Linked DNA regions of Mytilus edulis. The protein of the gene in region 1 interacts with the protein of each later gene in a pairwise test. Links are inferred from orthologs where the notes say so. Each region holds a gene or a part of one and is shown on either strand. Other genes may lie near its edges.

The links.
Region 2: the proteins of centrosomal protein of 70 kDa-like (region 1) and bystin-like interact in binary tests that used the Homo sapiens proteins (3 or more experiments, as listed by UniProt). The link is inferred for Mytilus edulis from reciprocal best matches to the Homo sapiens genes CEP70 and BYSL.

The regions. Positions count from the first base shown.
Region 1 is NC_092345.1:56,957,184-56,965,099, forward strand, and holds the start of centrosomal protein of 70 kDa-like, read left to right. Parts: upstream 1-4,912; 5' UTR 4,913-4,945; coding exon 4,946-4,981; intron 4,982-5,126; exon of another isoform or gene 5,127-5,247; coding exon of another isoform or gene 5,248-5,259; intron 5,260-7,916.
Region 2 is NC_092355.1:40,791,288-40,798,751, reverse strand, and holds the start of bystin-like, read left to right. Parts: upstream 1-4,456; 5' UTR 4,457-4,519; coding exon 4,520-4,666; intron 4,667-7,464. Other genes in the region: 17-beta-hydroxysteroid dehydrogenase 13-like, read right to left, coding at 1-134. UniProt on the Homo sapiens protein: Required for processing of 20S pre-rRNA precursor and biogenesis of 40S ribosomal subunits. May be required for trophinin-dependent regulation of cell adhesion during implantation of human embryos.

The DNA of each region.
Region 1 (7,916 bases):
ATCCAAGAACAAGAATGTGTACACGGATGCCCCACTCGCACTATCATTTTCTATGTTCAGTGAAATTTGGGTCAAAACTTTAATTTGAAATTAAAATTAGAAAGATCACATCTTAGGGAACATGTGTACTAAATTTCAAGTTGATGTAACTTTAACTTCATCAAAAACTACCTTGACCAAAAACTTTAACCTGAACTTCGCACTATCATTTTCTATGTTCAGTGGACCATGAAATTGGGGTCAAAACTATAATTTGGCATTAAAATTAGAAAGATCATATCATTGGGAACATGTGTACTAAGTTTCAAGTTGATTGGACTTCAACTTCATCAAAAACTACCTTGACCAAAAACTTTAACCTGAAGCGAACGGATGCACGGACAGATGAACAGACAGACAAACAAATGAACAGACCAGAAAACATAATGCCCATTTCAAGTTGATTGGACTTCAGCTTCATCAAAAACTACATTGACCAAAAACGTTAACCTGAAGCGGGACAGACGGTCGGACGCACAGACCAGAAAACATAATGCCCCTCTACTATCGTGTGTGGGGTATAAAAAACGAACCACAACAACAGCTAGTATAGAAACTTAAGAAGTAGTAGCAGGAATTCTTCCACTGGACCTCAAAAGAAAAGAAACCGGTTTAAGGCAAATTGCAAAAATAAAATCATATAAAATCACTATCCCTATTAAACTAATTTTTGAATATTGAAAGAATATAAATGAACCTGAAAAAATAATCTCACCAATTGGAAGAATGGTATTACAGTCTGAAGACATGATGAGGTCAACAGAGATTGATTCTGAGGGTATAGATATAAAAAAAAAGATGTGGTATGATTGCCAATGAGACAACTGTACACAAGATACCAAAAATGACACAGACATTAACAACTATAGGTCACTGTATGGCCTTCAACAATGAGAAAAGCCCATACTGCATAGTCAGTTATAAAAGGGCGTGATATGACAATGTAAAACAATTCAAACGGCAGTGATTTTGCTAGCGATCGTCACTTTCGTAATTTACGAAAGAGTTTTCGCATTGACGAAAGTATTTCAAATCAATTTCGTCACTTAAATTTTGAAAGTGTAAAAAATATTTTCGCATTAAAATACTATAAAGGACTATAAATCTACCTGTTTCTATGTTTTTGACAAGTTTATGACCCTCAGGTAATTAACATTTTCAACAGGTGTTACAAGTTGTGATTACAACTAATCCGATTATCGCCATCAGATGGGTCACTAATCCGTTTATTATTAATAAACCTCATAGTTGACCATCATAATTATTTACTCAGGAAAATCAGTCAGTTGACATTTCAACAACCAGGTGTATATTATAGTTTCGTCATTTAATCGAAATGGTTACCCCCGGACAGTTCGCATTTGAAATTTCAATATTTCTCTAACGATCACAATTTGAAGATCATTTGTCGTAGATTCGTCATTCGAACGCATTTTCGTCATAATTGATATAAATTGCCATCAAAAACTTTCGACAATTTCTATTTAAAATATAGAACTGTATTCAAAACGTCGCGAGTTAAACAGGTGCTTCCTGTACTGTGTGCTACGCATGCGTGGAAGTACTTATGACTATTTATAGACTCTGAATAAAAATGTAAAATACGAAATCATTTAGATCAATTAAACGAGAGAGACAAATATATAGCTCTAACTAAAAAAAATTCAACCGAAAACTGATAAATTCCTGATGAATCCGGACTTTATCATCCACGTGTCACTTCCCGTTTTCGTTTCATTTTAAAACCGAAAGTAGTAAACGTGATCTATTCTTGATTTATTTACAACCTCCTTTCAGTCGTTGTACTCGTTCCAAAAGGATTTTATACAGTTCCAACTTAATAGAAAAGATTTCCAAATATTGATTTAGACTTTTTATAAGGATAATGATTATGCAGTGATATTATCATTGCAAGTTAATTTCTGCTGTGTACCCTTGTTTAAAAAAGAAATAAATCTTAACTTTTGTTGATCAGGAATGTCCTCTGGAACAAACTGAAGAGAAATTGTGAACTAAGTTTCCACATCCCATGTCAGAATCTTTCATAATAAGGGCCAAAAGTCAAATCATATAATACTGTTAGACTGCCAATCATGCCTAAGCCCTTTAAAATCTGACAAAGTCAAAGATGAAGCTAGTAATATAAATCCTTGGTCCCTTGCTGTTACACAAAAAAAAGGTTGATTTTCATAGCGCGCTAAAGTGACTAAAGCCCTCAAAATCCTAGCTTAAACCCTGTAAATCAAACGAGAAATCTAACGGCCTTATAGTATGAATTGGAATTCCGAGGGTTAGCAGCCTCAAAATCACCACCAGAGTATTGGAAAAATCTCAGAAGTTCAAAGTCTAGATCAAAGGAACAAGCTTTTCAGGGAAAGACTATTATTTTGAAAAAATATATCAACTAAAAAAAAATACAACAATAGCTTTCGCTGGTGGCTCCTGCAGAGGAAACCCAGGTTGTGGGCTGGGGAAGCTATTTTAATACCAAGCAGCACAGAACATGTGGAGTTAACACAGCCAGAAAACAACAGAAAAAACACAGAATCCATCAAAATTTTCTCAGACAGCCAATCAGCAATTGGAATTCTAACTTTAAATTGGAAATCGGTTAATTACGGCAACTATTCATGTTATTAAAATTGGTATTTGGCACTTAAATCTGAAGGAATCATTGTTTCCATTGAATGGACCCCTGGACGCGCTGAAATACAAGGTATTGAACTAGCAGACCAACTAGCTAAATAGGCAACACAGGAGGCAGAAAAAAATAGAAAGCATTCCAATAGTCACAAAACAAGATATATACAAAAAGGAGCAAAAGACAGTGTAATGTTAAAACGGCAAAACCGATGGGACAACAGTAGTAAAGGAAAAAGATATTATTCCTCCCAACAAAATGTAAAAAATACACTTCTAAAAGACAAACCATCAACTGAAATGTATCGGATATCAACTAGCTTAAGAACAGGATATTGTAATTTAAACTCGTACAAATCAATGATATGCCCAGCACTCAACAACAAATGCAGCTGTGGACAAAAAGAAACAGTTGACCTTTATCTACTGTATTGTGAACATTATGAGGAGGCTAGAGAGAAACTGTGCTCTGCACTTTACTTCATAACATCAAAACTAACACTTGAATCAGAAGTATTATTAGAAACAACAGAAATAATAGATGATATTCAACATTTGTTAGGGGTTTTTATTAAAAATACTGGAAGGTTCACAAAATAAATAGTTAAGGTTTTATAAGGGTTAATTATTTATTGATTTATTTTTTTATTTATTTTTTTATTTATTTTTCTCTGCGGTGCCACATCATAAATACAAACGTACTAATGAGTTTTATACAAAAGCGACATAAAATTACCAGAGTGATCTAAATGAATCCGGGTCCGTTCGCACACACTCATGTTCGCCCCCTTTCACTTTCGCACCCTACATGTTTGCACCCAAAGTCTGTTCGCACCCTACATGTTCGCCCCCAATTTTAATTGGTTTTGTGTTTGATAACTTTGTAATCAAATTTTTGTCAAGTGTATTCTAATAAGTATAATTGTTGTCATCGTCTCAAAATAAAGTGAGACAGCATTTTTTTGTGTTGAACAAATCTTAATCATGTTTTGGATAGTGTATTGTTAAAAAAATTAATAATCCTTTCTAAATAAAGTGGGATTCTGTCAACGTTTTATTTTGTGCTGAATAACTCTTAATCATGTTTTGGTTAGTGTATTGCTATAACTTTTGTTTCATTGACTTGTTTTAAAATAAAAGGAGATTCTGACTACGTTTTTTTCTTCTGTGTTGAATAAATGTTATCATGTTTTGGTTATAATAGTGTATTGCTATATTTAATTGTGTTATTGTTTCAGGTCAAAGGGACCAAGCTGTTAAAAACAATTATCTTTTGTGTTTTTCATTTAAAATCTTCAAAGTTTTACTCATATTAAGCTATAAATACATTCAGTATTTACACCAAAGCAACTTTAAACAACAATCATAATTTTCCAATTATTCAACTGGAATGTGAATTAAAATTGGGCACGAATGTGTAGAGTGCGAACGGACCTTGGGTGCGAACATGCGAGGTGCGAACGTGTAGGATGCGAAAGTGTTTTGGGCGCGAACGGACCTGATACCGATCTAATACAGAGAGATTATAGTGTCAAGTTGACACTCACTAAAGACTAAAGACATTTTGCACTAATTTTGTACACTGGCAATAGCGTAGTGATGTCAATGCAGAAATTCTTCATGTAAAAAGTACATTTACAAAGTCCTAACAAACTGACATGAATACCGATTATAGACTACGGAGTACGGCAGGATATGACGGCCGGAGAGGAGAACACTGCAACCGCAGAACTGATATATCACAAAAGTTCGTGATTGAGCGTTATTTCTCACAAATGCATTGGGTACTTTGTGTTATATTAAGGTATAGATACAAATGTACACATGTATATGTTACAAAATTCAGAAACATTTGCCTATGACTGTGTGGACAACCTGTCAACAAGGTAGGAGGATTTAAAAACTTTTGCAGAGGTTACCAGCTGGTTACATTTTGCATACAATTAAAATACTTTTACTGTTTAGCAGGTTTAAAAGTTCACTTTACCTTAAAGCATATAAAGGTATAAAAACACAGATTTTAGCGAAGAAGAATGAAACGATCTGCCTGGCAACACTTACACAAAATCCGGGCACTTGTTACTTCGTAAAGCCGCAGTGAATTTCGATCCAGTAATAACTATTTTCCCACTGTTTATACTTTTAAAATATGGTATGAAAAATTTACCTGTTAATTTTATTTTCGAAAATATTTTTTTTTATTGGAATTTCTTCCTTAAATTATTGAGTTTTTGTAAACAAAACAGTGTCGCATATGTAAACAACAATGGCGGCTTTTGGAAACAGATATTTTGAAAAATTGGTATTTGATTGAAATTATTGTACAAATCAATTTTTATATAGCTATAAAATGCTGATTTTGAACATGTTTTATCTAAGAAAGATGGATATTGTAACATATTCTGATAAGTTAACAAATAATCTGATGTCAGTGCCCGCTAAAATTTGAATTTCTTGGCCCACTTCAGGCACTTGCTTGGACATGTTTCCTATCCGTAACTTCGATAACACTTATTATACAGCTATGAAATTATTTTATTAAGAAGTACCTGAACGTTGATCGACATTATGCCTCGCAGAGTAAATATTTCACATTTGAATCACATTTTTACATTCTAAAAAATCAACAGAATTATAAATTTAATGTAACTCAATGCTACTGTAGTATACTGTGCAGTAGGTGGTCACTTACTAATGAAAATACACTTTGTCATTTGTGTAGTCCTTCTTTAAGTCAATAAATAAAAGTTGTTTTGACTTTATTCGGTCATTCTTGCAGGTATATACATTTTATTTTGATATTGAAATGATTTTTAGTGCATTTTTCATGATTAAAGGTGGCATTAACCCTCTTGCTGCCAAAGGGACATTTATGGCTTCTACACACAAATCTTGTTGATTGTGTAGAACGTCAAAGGTTCATTGTAACGTCACAATACTCAGGGGCACTGACAACGTCAAAATACGGCGTCAAAAGGGCGATTTTGGCGGGAATGAAGCAAACTGAATAAAATGCTTTAAAAGGATACTTAAAACGGATGTCAAGAAATGATACAGGATCATAAGCTTGTTAGTACTATAATACCAACTTATTTAACGTGTTAACTAATTATCTAGTTCGTCATTTTCATGTAAAATGTTGCATTTTGTCGAGAAATTTACGTTTTTTTTCGTACATCTATCAATCAGAATATCTCATATAAAGAAAAAATCTTATCCCTGATAAAAAATCATAAAAAAGATAACTGTTATACTTGATGACGTTAAATATTAATAATCATTCACAATACTCCATACACGCTTTATTTAAAAGAACTAGATAATTTATTTAGGGCTCAAATACTACGATTGACATAGGATTTTTTTTGTAAAAGTACACACATGTTAACCGATGTACTTGTATTGCCATACGATATTTCAATACATTTTAAACCTGTTTCATCAAGGAAGCACTGCCTTAAAAATGTTTATTTTCATTCGAAATGGGGATGTTAAATTAGAAGTAGACACAATGATTTCCATTCCTATCATATATATCATAGATGTCCATTCCCAGATGCAACCTCTTTTTTCTGGCATTCACCACAGATCTTTTACTTTGTAGGACTGCTGTTCAAAACTCATAAATCTATGGACAAAAAACAAAATCGGGGTAACAAACTAAAACTGAGGGAAACGCATTAAATATTAGAGGAGAACAACGACACAACATTAAAATGTAACACACACAGCAACGGACTAAGCATTAGACAACATCCGATGAGAACAATTTATCAATTAACAGATGCTCGGAGATTTTATTTATTTTTATGAATTTGCACACGCTTTGTTTATATTTTCATTTTCATTGAGTGCCGTTGTTTTGCCGTTTATATATGATTTGAGAGATTTTTTTACAGTATTTATACCAATTATCTAATAAAAAAACGAGAATAAATATTTTACTATTTTATAAGTGGTTAAGAATCATTTATGCATTTCACTTGACAAAGATAAAACAAAGTCGCCTTTAAAGCTAGTATAGCAATCGGTATATTATTTTCACTTTATTTTAAGACAAGAAAGATAAAAAAAAATATATTACAAGGTTAAAAGTTGTATTTTTAAATAATCTTGTATTAAAAACATCGTTTATGACAATCTTGGAGCATATTTAATCTGTAAAATTACTTATACATCGTTTTCATAATTACGGCTACATTGACGCAGGAAAAATCATGGACGGCGGGAAAGCGCAGTTCTACAGAGAGGCACAAGTTTTGCAACGTCACACATAAGAAACTTCAAGATGCTTTTGGCGCGACAAAGCAAGAAAAAAACTCGGCAGCAAGAGGGTTAATGCACACACATACTGTATGTAAAAGTGACTGTTTACATTCATTTTGAAATGTTTATCTATGCTATTATCATCACATGAATTGGGAAAACACATTCAAATTATGAATATGTTGATAAGGTCGGTAGCATGAAGCTCATACAACTTACAATACAGCTTTTAATTATTTGTTGTTTTGAAACATTCAAGCTAGTTTCCATCATCATCAAGGTTTCAAGTTATGTCCTTCACCAAAAAAGTTTCAATTATACATGTATATGCATGCATTTATGATGTCATTTACCTAATAAAGGGAATCATGTGCCTGTATTCCTGAACTTTTATAAAAGTTCATCAAGGGTTTAGTAAATGTCATTATGCAGGATAAAGTACAAATAATGTTTGCTTTGTAGGTACTTATCACCCACTCTCTTAACATGGGACGGAAGTGATAATGCTCCAAAACGCATGAAATTCATTCAGAATGATGTTCACTAAAACCAAAGTTTTTTTATGGAAATGCAAAGAACTTGAAAGTGGTCTATAGGTTTCCTGTACAAATATTACATTCCTTTTGAGAAAATGTCCAGGGGTTTGAAGAGGAGGTTTCAGTTCTGGTAGCTATGTCTTGATAACCTTGCATCAAAATGTAGCAGTTTTTATATACATGTGTCTAACAAAATGATTGCCATCATCAACTAAGAAGACAATAATCCTAATATCATGTCCAACAGTAAAACTATTAGCAGCTTTTATACTGTCTGACATGGACATTAGGTCATGCTCCTTTGGATTTGTCAGCCTAAAAATCAGATATATTAGGCCAAAAGATCAGATAGATTAATAAGAAACCTCTTTTATTGTCAAAATTTAATCTTTATATATTGTAAAGTTGAAAACTTATTTGGTATTTGTGTGTGTG
Region 2 (7,464 bases), on another chromosome or scaffold:
AGTACAATTTTCCCGGCAATACTCTTGGGCTTGGCAGGAATAAATGCTGATATAAGAGCGTCAATATAATAATAAAATAGTCTTGGGAAGAAAATGCAGACGAAAAATATTAGTTTTTCAACAACTGTTGCCATTTCGTCTGTTTACCTGTTAACGACATGAAATGGAAAAACCCAAGAAGGTTTCGAATTCAACAAAATGAGAATGAATAAAGGAATGATAAATATGATCAAACAGGATTTCCGCACTCATTAAAATCACTCGAGGGGCACAGTGTTAGTTTTGCGACAATATTTTCCATCCTATGCAGGATATATATAAGAGACAATATCTAAAAAATTGTAAATTTTTAGTAGAAACTAAGTTATATAATGCACCATGTCCTGCCAATTAAACACTCATTCTTATATTTCTTCCAATAAAATATTGTAATTTAAATGTTCAACCCCCCTAAAATCATGTTGTCCCCTGTGTTTTTTTGAAAACTAAATCATTCAAATAATATCCAAATTAATTAAACAGGCGTCTGATTCTCACATATATGATATATTATATAATAAACTTGCCCCTAATTTGTCTTTTTATATTATAACTATAGCATGTAATAAAATTTTGCAAATTTTAAGAGAAAACAAATTTGTCCCCAGGGGTGATTTGCCTCCTGTTACCACTGGTTTTTTTTTTACCTGTGGAAACGTTTACAAGACCAAGAGTTATTTTCCCATTATGTATTGTGAAGAGCATCATTATGACAGTTTTTGTCCATTCGTTTTTGATGCGTTTTGTTATTTGATTTTGCCATGTGATTATGGACTTTCCCAATTGATCTTCCTCTAAGTTCAGTATTTTTGTGATTTTACTTTTTCCTGAATGCATTAGTACAAAGAAATAGTTGGAAGGCGGCCAGGTTTGAAAATTCAAGCCCATCCAAGGTAAGAATTTATAGAAAAATACTTATTGGTGTTCTATCCTGTTACAGCCTTTTCTTACACTTTCTGAGAATATTTTTAAGTGTGCACCACAGCATTAAGTGTGTTTTTATATCATCTTTTTAAAAGTTATATGTCACAGGAAATACACTTACATTTAATGTGATAAAAAGGACAAAAACTATCGCGTAATTCCTTTCTGTTACGTTCCGTCATGTTACCTGGTAAAAAGTAACAGCATAACCATCATCAGTAACAGGAAGGATGTTCAAGACAATGTCACTGAAGAATCGAAAAGTTAATCTACTATATGCCAACCATTTCATTTAATATAAGTTATCACCACCATATTAAATAAATTTCAAAATAAGATAAAGTATATTGAATAAAAAAATTGTTTTTTTGCTTTTGATAACAGCAGAGAACATTGTGCAATTCTAGTTTAGTAGATGGTAACAGAAAGGAATTTATTTTAGAATTTTTCATTACCTAGGCAGATTTTTCATCTTGCAAATACAGTTTCAAAGGATAAATGACATTGTTTGCTGTTATCTTCCAATTGTGACCAATTTAAAATGATGTATTTTTCTTAAACTTTAAAATAAAGCAGAAAAATCCTTTCTGTTACCAACTCTGTCCTCTTACCGTTGTGCTGTTACTCAAGATTCTTTCATGTTACCGACATATGACATATCTGACTATATTTAAGTATATTTCTAAACCTTTTGTATTGCAAATGCTAAAATCAATAATTGGCATTTGATAAACTATTGCAGGATATACTAGTAAACCACAAATATTGTCTTAAACTTATTCCTTATTCCCATTAGAAACTTTTTAAAATTGATTCACTTTGGTAACAGGAAAGAACTGGATTTTTTTTGTACCATTTTTATAATAGCCATTGTTTCCTTATTAAACAATTGTTTGAATTACAGACAACAGTTCCTAGATCCCCAATGTGTGTTCTTCGATTTGTGCTATTAAAATACTGGGTCTAAACAAAAAATTTTTGTTTTTTCTTATTTCCAAAAATTAGACTTTTTCAGATATTGTCTCATATAAGATAAGATATCTCATATATTTTATTTCCAATTTAGGGCCCACAAGGGATAGAGAATACAAGTATAAGGGAACAGAACATTGATTATCATAGATCTATGCATATAGAATTTAAATTACATACACAATTACAATACAATTAGACTGTAAATAATAAAACACTTGGTTTAAAATATATATGATATATCTATATGAGAAATTATTACATCTAACTCATATTGATTTGAATATGAAGAAGGGGATGAAATAATTTTAATTACATGTTAAAAAAAATTGGGTGCTGAACGAATCTTTATGTTAAGAAGTGATTTGGTCCAGTTAAAAATGTATAATTTTAGTACGTCTGAAGCTGTCAAACTGAATTATGACCCCCTTATCACAGAATAGTCATTATTTTGAGTTAGAGCTGGTAGAGGTTTCTATAATTTTGATATTATTTGTCCCACTAGTAGTATACTACATTGTAATATCTTTTTGAGAAAGAGCAGGTGCGATTTTTTCAATTTGAATTTATTGTCTAAAAGAAATGCACTACGAAATAACTGTGTTCTCGGGCCAGTTGAAAGCCAGCTACAACTAAACAAAATTGACAAATATCACGACTTTTGTGTCTAATCTAGTATTTGTTGATAGAAACGAAATGATCTGAACCAAAGTTTTAGATATCTTTTCTATATAAAAAGGGGCATTCAATTATATCCAATACTCCATTCACTAGGGATGATATACTAGTGTACACATGACATTTGATAATTTTAAGAGAGTTTTGACGGCTTCTCTCGGCTGGCGAGCATAACTTTGTTTATTTTTTTTATAAAATAAAAATATTTTTGAAAACAATTTGTGTAGACACGTGCCTAACGTGACTAACGGTAACTACGCTCATTCAAGAGGGTTCGACGACTTACAGAAAAGAGCGACGATTTACAGAAAAGAACCGAAAAGGACCGAAAAGGACCAAAAAGAACCGAAAAGGACCGAAAAGAACCGAAAAGGATATCGACTTTTTTTGTAATCGAAGGAAATAAGCAAATTGCAAATCATTGAAAACCTTATACTGTGAGAGGACTAATTTTAACTCACATGTATGTGAAAAATTACAGGTAGGGTTGGATGCCTATTTTATAGAATAGAAAAATAGAAAAGATTTTTTTTTATTCACCAAATAAGGGCCCCTAGGAGGGCATATAGCCATACAAACAATATATATATATATATATATGCAATACACAGACAATAGATAGATATGTAATATGAGTAATGAAAAAATACTACAGGAAACACGCAACAAAATAATAGCAATATACTCTAATAATTCAATAATACTAGTGTTGACATTGACTTATGCGCTCCAGGTTTATTAGTGTATTTTACCTATAAAAAGATAAACAATTTTCTAAATATTTACCTTAACAAGGACTGTTGGCAGTCAAAACTTTAACACTATAAAAAATCCATGTATATATACATGGTTTTAACTTTATTTAATAAATATATATGTATTCCTTTTCGGTTCTTTTCGGTCCATTTTCGGTTCTTTTTGGTCCTTTTCGGTTCTTTTCGGTTCTTTTCTGTAAATCGTCGCTCTTTTCTGTAAATCGTTGGACCGCATTCAAGAAACAACGTAACTGTATGCATGGGAATAATAGTTTGTATGTTTGCTTAGTCCAGACTCCAGGTTAGGGAAATCGTATTACAAGTATTTGAATGTAATACATGGAAGGGTTGAAATTCCGTGTACGTCTTATTTGACTATAAATAAAAAGATACCTACAAATCGCGTATGTCGACCAAAGTAAATAAATCGGTCAGTGGTAAACTCAGTGAATGTGACATTATGTTTTGATTTTTTCCTGAAAATATAAATATTGATATGAATAGGTCTTTCCAAAGCTCTGATAGGGGCAATGCAGAATATTTGGCCACGTGGCCATCACCAGAAAAATAAAAAAATAAATTCAGTGGTACAATAAATTCCACAACGGCTTACCATACGAAATAGTTATGTTTGCCAGATATCGGTCATTGCCAGCCCAAATTAAGTTTGTGTTGTCCCTAATCATGCTAATACGATTCCGTAGGATTAAGTCTATTCACAGGGATGAAATTATTTTGGCAAATTCAGGAACTATCAAAAGAAAATTTTATTCAAAATTTAATATTAAATGGTTTATAATCATTAAATACTTCAAACTTTCCTTAAATACTTGTCTGGGTCGATATAAGATGGTCCGAGTTGACTTAACATAATCGGTCCAAAACTTCTCCGAACCGACTTGTCCAATAATCTTTTTAACGCTAAGGTAACATTGATGTTGATTTTTTAATACTTATAAATGATTTTTTAATTTAAAAAAATCGGCGTATGAAGTTAATTAGCAGTTTTAGCTGATTTTGATCACAGTATGATTCCGGTACTAATTTGTATAATACAATCATTCCTTTATTCGCACACTGTGGATTTTCGGAACTTCTCTGGACCTAACGATCTCTTCCATATTAATTGTCAACACGTGAAACCTGTAAACATGGGAAAGGCAAAGAAAGTTAAAGTATCTAAAACTGAGGGCGAAACCGACAAAACCCAAACACTTGCAGATCAGATCTTAACAGATAAATCAGTTAAACTCAAAGGCCGAAATAAAATTCGTAACAGAAAGGACGAAGATGATTCGGTATAAACATGATATAAAGCATGATAAATGCTTTATTACATAAATTAGGAGATTTAATGTTAATCAAACTAGTAGCAGATGAGACAACACCAGAGTGCTAATGACGTGGACACAAGAAATTAAAAGTCATCTAAGGTTTTCAACAATGCAAAATACTAAACAGTCGATCAGCTATAACATGATAAATATTAGTCCAAATAATTATGACGTCTTGAAAGGCTATTATAATTTTTTTCTTTGACGCCTTACAAAAAATTATAATAGCCTTTCAAGACGTCATAATTATTTGGACTAGATAAATATAGTGCCCAGACAAGAGACAGGCTTATAAAATAGGTCATTTCTGGGGTAAATAATAAATAAATAAGCTTTATATAGAGTTGGCAAGGTATACAAACAAAGACAACATTAGCTCTAATGAGCTTTTAACCGATATGACATGGTCATGGGTACAAACCAAATCAGATCCGGGTCAATTCAGCTAAAGTGTGGCACGTTAAAACATATTTTGTGAGATCTCCCAATACCTCTAGCCAATGACGAAAAAACAAACACACAGCAATATGAATCCGGGTCCGTTCGCCCTGATTCATGTTCGCCCTAGTACCTGTTCGCCCTGATACCTGTTCGCCCAGGGTCCATTCGCCCTGATTTTTCTTTTTTTTTCTTATTGTTGTCTAGTCGCATTATTTTAAGTATTTGAACAAAATATGTTAAGTTTGTTGAAAAATTGACAGAATATTTATATTGCCGCAATCAATTTATCATTTTCACTTTGATTTGCAGAGTAGAATACTGGAATACAATGTATTTATCTTTATTGATATTTGTTAACAAAATAATTGTATTCAGTCAATCACAAATGTATGCAGTATGACTAGTCTTAGAGTATAAATAAATGAACTTGTAAATCCTTTTCATAATTAACAGTTCGTACATCATTGTTTTTATTAATTTCAAGCTGAATATTTTATCAAAACAAAACGTTTGTTTTTATTATTAATTCATCAAAAGACAATGACAATAATCAGTGATTATTTTGTCATTGAACAATTAACGATCCTAAACAAGCCATAAACTTTTAAATATTTCAATGTTTCCATAAATTTCAAGAATATACAAGATAAATATATCATAGAAATATCTGAATAAGTTTATTCAACTTCAATGCCCTGAATATTAATATTTTTATAGGAGGGCGAACGAACTCTGAGCAAACGGACCTAGGGCGAACATGTTATAGGGCGAACAGTCCCGATACCCAGCAATATGCACAGTAAAAATCAGCTTAAAAGAAGTCTGTGTCAGAATAGGTATCAAAAGAAACTAAGAAAAATGACATAATGTCTTTATTTTATTATGATGCCTCTTATTTTCTTGAATAACTTGTTTAAGTTCCATGTACATTGTAGCTATAGACCTTTGGCTGATAAATACCTCGGCAGTCCAATTAATTATTGTAACAACCTAAACTTCAAAACAGCAGAAATAAGTCCATATGAAACATTCATTCAAGAAAACAGTTTTTTTTTTGAGGAATGTGCATGCGCGTGGTACACCATTTACTTCAAGGTCAATCAGGCGCGTAGCTCCCTATACGCCAACACGCAGTTGCGTGCACATCAATTCGGCATGCAAAAAAAATAAATTGCAAAATAAAAATTTATAAATTAAAAATATAAAGGATACACATACGAGTATTCAAATGATATAATGTCATTAAATAGCGGCATTTGGTTTCAAAATTAAAGTTTTATTGCAGATGACAAAAACGGACAGTAACTTGAATCTATTACAAGATTATAATTTGTTATACTCTTGTAGTTTCGGAGAACATTTTACAGAGTACGGTTTATCTGTTTCGAATGCGATGTACCAATCGGCCATTAGATTTATCAGAACCCTTCGATATCGTTAAATATGCCGATGCAATGTGACTATCAAAGCCAATCACCCTGCAAACACGCAAAAACAGTCTTGGAAAGTCTCATTATATTTTGCGTCCATAGACCACATGATAATTTACGAGTAATATCTTTAATTAATATTCTTTAATATTGTTAAAAGTAGTATAACACTATAAAACGTAGCATAACACCAGCAACTGTCTTTTTCTCGGGATATATCAGTTTGTTTTGGGGATATAATGTTTTTCTTGTATTTCTCGGGAAATCGTGGTACCGGAAAATTGTTTGTTTTTCGGGTTTTGGCCATAGGACGGTTAATTAAGAAGCTACATGTACATAGGTACATGATAATTTATGGAACTGGAGTCGCGTCTGATATCAGTCAGAAAAATCACTGCTTTGCGCATATCTGCTTCCTCGTGTTGTAGGAAATACAACAAACGAACAAATCACAGCATTGTTTGAGACAAAAGAAACTGACTTGTCATGTACATTTTGTAATTTTGACAAATTCAATCGGGAGGTCGCTTGATGGCGAACACGCTGGATTACATATCGCGGGTGCTACCGCAGAGAGATCGTTCATTGTACTACGTCTGTTGAAAACATATGTACGATTAACAACGAACAACGACGGTTTAGCATCGCTAGCATTGCTGCATATTCATCGGGATTTTTGTGTGATTATTGACAAAGTAATAAAGAAGTTCGTTTCTGCTAAGACCCGAAGGGCAGATTTTTGACAATTTTTAGTAAATTCCATAACACAAAAATGTGTTGTTTATGTATTCAATTAACCATGCTTTATTCTATTTAGATGTTCTATTCAGAAGATTTTTGAATAGTTTTGCATTCATGAATTATGTATAAGTCCTATGTACGTCATGTAGC